Macaca fascicularis: one gene and its partner. The protein of the gene in region 1 purifies or fractionates together with the protein of each later gene. This does not show direct contact. Links are inferred from orthologs where the notes say so. Each region holds a gene or a part of one and is shown in the gene's direction. Other genes may lie near its edges.

Region 1 (3,652 bases):
CTTTTAATTATATTTCTTAAATGTGTAATTTAATGCATGTTTTTCTCCTCAGCTAAAGCTCTACTAGGGCAAGAACCTACTGTGGGGTATTTTTTGTCTCCCATTTGTGCCTTAGCACTAAGTATAGAATGATATATATTTAAAATATTATGTATTTATTGGATAAACAAAAGAAAAGATATATCTCGCTTTTCTCTGATTTTTTTCCCTCTACCATTTCATTGCCCACTGTGTTCCCGAAAATAAGTATCAGTTGCATTAAAATGGAAATCTCTATGGACATAGCTTCTTCACTCTTAGCAATTCTTTTCCCTGTCTGCAAAATTTTCTTGTTTATTTTTCACTGACCTGTTCTGATCTAAAATCAACTTTTTTCCCCCCTTCCTTAAGCTTTTTTATTTCGGGGAACCCTTTTAGAGTAATTTTGTATTGTTCAACTATTACCCGCTTGGAATATACACACATATATATGTATGTATACCTACAACCAACTTGTATTTTGGGGTGGGGTAGTACAGGAAAAACAATGTAAAGATTAAAATTCTCAATGTTAGCATTATATAATCAAAGGCTGATAGTTGGGGGAAGTTAACTGTACTAGAGTTTGAAAATTTAAGTCAGCTTTGAAGAAGAGATGAAGTGGACATTGTCTCTCCACTATCTTAATTTAAAATTTTATTTAACCTGTATTTAAGGCTTTTCATTCCCCTGTAAAATTTTTAAGGATTTCTGTTTTTTTTTTTTTGTTATTGTTGTTGTGCATCTGAGTGGAGAATAGAGAAAAAATTAGCATGGTGAAACTAAAAATTGGTTAAAATGTGTGACTGTCTTGCTAAAGGGATATTATGGCTATCAACTAAAATAAAAGTAAGTAGGATGGGTTGGTTCATGAATCTTTCTTAAATTGTTCATATCTTTTCCACTGTCAAAGAAAATTAGATTGGTTATAAAGTTTTTACAAAGAAATTTCTTTTCCTTTAAGCTTATTTAAATATTTTATCAAATGAAGTCTGTGAGGCATATTAGAGATAAAGGAGATTTATAATACATTTATGTAACATTTCACATATCTAACTTATTTGGTACTCATCAATATTATAATTGTATTTATCCTTTTAATTTATTGGGTAATATTTATCGTACTAATTTTTCCTTTTTTACTTTTAGCAAAGTGTGGGATGCTGTCTCAGGAGATGAATTGATGACCCTGGCTCATAAACACATTGTCAAGACTGTGGATTTCACGCAGGTATCAGAAAATTGAATTTATTTTAGCAAGTTAAGTTGCTATTATATAGTGTGACAATGCTTTTATATTTGATTGGTGTGTATATTTGATATATTTTGTGTGGAATATTTGTTATGTCTTGGTTCATATTTAATTTGATTGTATATTAAGCTCTATGAATTTGTTTCATGGTTAATCCTGTCAAGCTTTTAAGATACCGTGGAACAAGTACCAGTCCTTCAACAAGCAAAAAACATCTGAAAAGCTCAAGTAACCTTTCTCACCTACTAATAGAAGTGAGAAGATAAATTTCAGATAATCAGAAAAGGGCCTCTCACAAGGGAGAGGAGTAGGATCAGGGGAGAATGGGAGAGTTCATGTATATGTAGCGTAATGTAACGCTTTTGCCCACTGGAAAGCTCACAAGGCTTGGTAGTTATGAGAGGGCAGCTGTTCCACAGTATCTTCTCAGAAGTAATTGGTTATGTCTTGCATCTCTTTGTGATGTCTGTGAGCTAGATTTTGATTTTATTTGGTGTTGAAGTTTGAAAGAGAAATAACTATTAAAATGGTTAACCTATTCACATTTTGTGTTTTCAGGATAGTAATTATTTGTTAACCGGGGGACAGGATAAACTGTTACGCATATATGACTTGAACAAACCCGAAGCCGGTAAGCATAATTTAAACATCAGCTTGTAGTTTTACTTTTTTTAAATTTAAATAACTGATTAAAGGATTTCATGCTCAGTACTCAAATTTGGAAAATAAAGATAGTCATGACCGGGCACGGTGGCACACGCCTGTAATCCCAGCACTTTGGGAGGCTGAGGCAGGTGGATCACTTGAGTTCAGGAGTTTGAGACCAGCCTGGCCAATTTGTCAAAACCCCGTCTCTACTAAAAATACAAAAATTAGCCAGGTGTGGTGGTGGGCGCTTGTAATCCCAGCTACTCAGGAGGCTGAGGCAGGAGAATTGCTTGAACCCGGGAGGTAGAGGTTGCAATGAGCCAAGATCACGCCACTGCACTCCAGCCTGGGCAACAAGAGTGAAATGCCGTCTCAAAAAAAAAAAAATTAGTCACAAAGAAGAAAATTAAAACATAATTCACCCGTTTTTGGTTTATAAACTTTCAGTCTTTTTTATCCTGCAGTTTAAAAAAAAAAAAAACAGTTTATCTGCCACGTTGCTATTGTATAACCTCCCAAATTGAAAATTTATTATGGCAAAAAATTTTATCATTATATTAAGTTTTAAAACACTGTAGAACAGTGTTACTATTTTTTGGTAAGAAAGAGTGGTTATTTATAGAAGGTGGTGATGGTGGGAATTCTCAGTTGTGTGCACATATTGCTTACATTTTTGAACCATGTAAATATATTAGCTATTTGAAAGAATTTTTAAAAATCTGCAATTACAGTTTTTTCATGTCACTAAATAGTCTGTGAACTCTTTGTAATGACTTTCTGGTTTTCCATCCTGTGGATATATCATAAGTGAATTAACTAGTTTCCTGTTTTGGCCTGTTTGGGCTATCTACAAATTTTAAATGTTAAAAGCAGTATTATGCTAAACATCCTTGTAGTTGCAGATATTTTCATAATGATTTCCTTAAGATAACTAAGCAAAGTAGAATTGGTGGGACAAAGAGAAGTAGAATTGCTGGAAGGTGGCCGGGTGCAGTGGCTCACACCTGTAATCCCAGCACTTTGGGAGGCCAAGGTGAGCGGATCACCTGAGGTCAGGAGTTTGATACCAGCCTGGCCAACACGGTGAAACCCCATCTCTACTAAAAGTACAAAAAATTAGCTGGGCATGGGCATGGTAGTAGGCGCCTGTAATTCCCAGGTACTCAGGAGGGTGAGGTAGGAGAATCGCTTGAACCTGGGAGGTAGTGGTTGCAGTGAGCCAAGATTGTGCCATTGCATTCCAGCCTGGGGGACAACAGCGAAACTCCTTCTCAAAAAGAAAAAAAAAAATGAATTGTTGGAAGCCACTGATAGATAGTACCAAAATGTCTTCCAACAAAGTATAGGTATATATATGTATCTATACCCAACATGTTCTAGTGAACACTGATAATTAACTTTATCTTTGTCAATTTAAGAAAATAATTCTGTTGTATTAATGCGAAAATTCATGAGATTAAAATGCTGTTGAATACCATTTTAACGTATTTCCTTTTTTATGAAATAATTGCCTGTCTACCCGTGGCCCATTTATCTGTTGTGTTCATGTTTTTCTTACTGGTTTTTAAAGATTCTTTATTGAATTCCAATTTATCATTCGCTTTTAAATTTTGTTAAGGCGGTTTTATGGTGTGTACTTTTTAACATTTTGGTGGTGAAATCCTTTATGCATTCTCTCATTTTACAGAAGTTATAGGTGTCATCCCCACTCTACATACTTTATTTTATAATATT
Region 2 (3,652 bases), on another chromosome or scaffold:
TATAATTTTGAGATTTCTGGATTCCCTGGGGACTCTGCACTCTCAGCCAGCTAAGGAGTCCTTGACAGTGGTTGCTGCAGGTCTCTGTGGGTCTTGACCCATAATTTTCATAGGTTTTTGAAGCTTCAGTATGAGGACTGGCATTCTTCTGTGTCTATTATTTTTTCCCTTAGAGTATATTCCTGCCCTTCCTTTCATCCTCAGTGAGAAGACTTCTAGATTAAAATGCATGGTTTCTACCTAGTACATGTATAGGTGGTGTACATTGGGACACCTTTAACAGTCACAATAGTTGCATATGTCTTTCACTGGAAACCAAGATCATGAGGCAGATAGCGTGAAACTGCTATTTTAGCGTTTTGTGGGATTTAGTTGACATCATTAATGTGCAAACCAGTGTGGATATTTAATATTTTTCTTGAGTCTAATATTTGTTATGTAATATTTTGTGCATATGTCTGTGTACAGAGAAATGTCTGAAAGGATGTTCATCAAAATGTGGCAGTAAGGGGATGATTTTCAAAGTTATTTTTGCAAATTTTTTTTAGGTACATGGCCCCTGAAGTTCTTGATGATTCCATAAATATGAAACATTTTGAATCCTTCAAACGTGCTGACATCTATGCAATGGGCTTAGTATTCTGGGAAATTGCTCGACGATGTTCCATTGGTGGTAAATTGCTCCCCTCTCCCCCAACAGTTTGTCATGAGCAGAAGAAGTTGTTCGAGAATTGTCTTCTTTTTTTATTGAATGAAATTATGCACAATCCATTATCTGAAACAGGACATCACCGAGTGCCAGAGAAAACAAAGGCGATGAAACCTTTGGGAGGGGACAGTGCCATGGTGTGCACATGCACAGCTCTAGCCTAGTGTATTCTCTTCCTGTTTCCATTTGAATCTTGAGACTCATCAGAACCCAAACCCTTGTTATACTGGAATATAGTTCTTTAGAATGGACAGCTGCTTGAGAGGCTCACCTAGGAAGCTGTTTCTAGCATGTACCTAGGTGTCAAATTTATTTTTTTTCTTTGGCATTGTGGTTATTTTCTCCAACTTGATAGTTATAGATTACGTACACAGAATACAATTATGTTACCATTGTGTTGTTTTCTAGAGTTAGTTTGTCTTAACTTCTAGCGTTTTAGATGGAGTACTTATAATGTTTACTCAGGAAACAGTCTCTTAGGCTTGGGGACCTAGGCTTGGCTGAGACCTTAGTGCCTTATTAGTTTGAAGCAGTGAGGGACAGAGTATTTCTCTGTATTGTAGTAAATAGGATATATTATTGACAGATGCAAGTAGAGAAAGGGACTTGCACCTTAAACTTGCCTCATAGGATTTGTGTCTCACTGATAGGATCTATATATCCCTGTACAAGTGAGAGCCTGTGCACTTACAGAATAGAATCTCATTTGCTGCACAATAGGGTTCTAGGGGAAAATGTCAGTCTGGTGGTCACAGCTCACAGTTTACTGTCATTTCAAATAGGCTTTATTGATCTCTTGGCAATAGTTTCAAGGTGTGGGCAGAATATCAACTCAGGGAAGTGACTTGTTGATACAGATTTGGATGAGATAGAGAAAGCTGTAATCTCTGTTCCACCTACCTACTTTAGTAATAAGACACTGTAATAGGCCTCTCAGGTGATCTTTTTAATGCCTTGGCATTCGCTGAATACATTTATCAAAATTATTTTTTTTTAAACTGATACAGGAATTCATGAAGATTACCAGCTGCCTTATTATGATCTTGTACCTTCTGACCCATCAGTGGAAGAAATGAGAAAAGTTGTTTGTGAACAGAAGTTAAGGCCAAATATCCCAAACAGATGGCAGAGCTGCGAAGTGAGTATTTCTTTTTGATATTAGGCAATTTTCTAAACTTCTGCTTAGTAAGCAAAAGTTTGCTGCTTTTCTTTAAGGAAAACTTTTCTTTAAGAAGTTTCTTTTTCATAGCAGTCAAACCAATGTGTAAAAACAGAATAATTTGGTTTTCATATTCAATTGTAAGCACATTGAAAGGGCCGTGGAACATTTGCAGTGGCCTTTAGTATATCAGAACATAGTTTAGGTCTGTCAGGCGAACTAAAGCACATACTTTTTAAGTGAATGCCTCCCTTCAGCCAGGGCAACCCAGAATAATAGACAGTTGCTGGACAGGAATGAGGAGACCTATATTCTAGACCAGCCTGACTACCATTTCAAGGGTCTGACTTGGAACAAATCACTTTAGTTCTCTGAACCTTAATATCCCTTTGTAAGGTGAGGAACTCAGATAAGGTGATTACAAAGTTGTTTCAAGTGATTTTCCATTTTATTCATCTGATTGCCCAGATGACCATTAACCAGGAATTTAGGGAAAATGCTTTTTTTCCAGCAGTGTCTGAGCTTCTCAACCTCAGCTCTAACAAAAAGTTTTAGAAATGTTTTTGTAATTGTAAATTTAAAGATTCGTAAGATGAATTTTATTTAACCTCTCCTTAGTTGCTAGCTGTTACTATTATAATATTGGTGAAGCAGGGCATATTCCTCCGGGTTTGAAGGTTTGTAGCTTAAAAAGGCTATAAAAAGCTGTTCAGTTCAGTAGTTGGTTTTACATCTTAAACTATTATAGGACTCATCAGAACCTCTGATAACCAAGAGAGCTTGCTACCTCCAACAAAATCACATCTACAGGCCCAAATAAAATGTATTTCAGCATGCTCAAGGAATTTGCATGTGACATACTTTAACAAATGAGAGTGCTGCTAGATTTTGTCTTTTAGAAATTTGATCTACTCCGGAGGCTGAGGTGGGAGGATTGTTGGAGCCTGGGAGGTCGAGGCTGTAGTGAGCTGAGGGCATGCCATTGCATTCCACTTTGGGCCGCAGAGTGAGACCCTGTGTCAAAAAAAAAAAAAGAAAAATTTGATCTGGATACTTCAAAGTACAAACTTAAAATTTCAGTGTGAGGTCAGATTTCTTCTTTGCTTTGCCCAGCTCTGGTTTAGGATTCGACCTCTTCAGGTTTGCTGAGTGAGTTACTCTTTGTCTACCTGCTTTCCAGCACTGACACCAGTACCCTATTGATGGAAATTTGTGAAATTTCTACTCATTTGCTATTACAAACAATGCTTAACAACAACAACAAAGTGTATATGTCATTTAAAAAGAAAATTTACAGGTAAAAATTCTTATCCAGACCAATGGAAAATGGTGCATGCATTAATTTTTTTTTTTTTAATTATATTTTCTTGTAGGCCTTGAGAGTAATGGCTAAAATTATGAGAGAATGTTGGTATGCCAACGGAGCAGCTAGGCTTACAGCATTGCGGATTAAGAAAACATTATCACAACTCAGTCAACAGGAAGGCATCAAAATGTAATTCTACGACTTTGCCTGAACTCTACTTTTTTCTTCAGATCTGCTCCTGGGTTTTAATTTGGGAGGTCAATTGTTCTACCTCACTGAGAGGGAACAGAAGGATGTTGCTTCCTTTTGCAGCAGTGTAATAAAGTCAATTAAAAACTTCCCAGGATTTCTTCGGACCCAGGAAACAGCCGTGTGGGTCCTTTCTGTGCACTATGAACGCTTCTTTCCCAGGACAGTTACAAAATGTTGTGTAGTCTACCTTTATTTTTTATTAACAAAACTTGTTTTTTAAAAAGAT

The links. The genes of interacting proteins can lie anywhere in the genome.
Region 2: the proteins of STRAP (region 1) and TGFBR1 purify together in Homo sapiens (affinity purification with western blotting; 3 studies listed by BioGRID and IntAct, with this or other methods). This does not show direct contact. The link is inferred for Macaca fascicularis from reciprocal best matches to the Homo sapiens genes STRAP and TGFBR1.

The regions. Positions count from the first base shown.
Region 1 is NC_088385.1:18,704,592-18,708,243, forward strand, and holds part of STRAP (serine-threonine kinase receptor-associated protein), read left to right. Parts: intron 1-1,167; coding exon 1,168-1,249; intron 1,250-1,828; coding exon 1,829-1,901; intron 1,902-3,652. UniProt on the Homo sapiens protein: The SMN complex catalyzes the assembly of small nuclear ribonucleoproteins (snRNPs), the building blocks of the spliceosome, and thereby plays an important role in the splicing of cellular pre-mRNAs.
Region 2 is NC_088389.1:58,978,235-58,981,886, reverse strand, and holds part of TGFBR1 (TGF-beta receptor type-1), read left to right. Parts: intron 1-548; coding exon 549-673; intron 674-1,716; coding exon 1,717-1,847; intron 1,848-3,241; coding exon 3,242-3,367; 3' UTR 3,368-3,652. UniProt on the Homo sapiens protein: Transmembrane serine/threonine kinase forming with the TGF-beta type II serine/threonine kinase receptor, TGFBR2, the non-promiscuous receptor for the TGF-beta cytokines TGFB1, TGFB2 and TGFB3.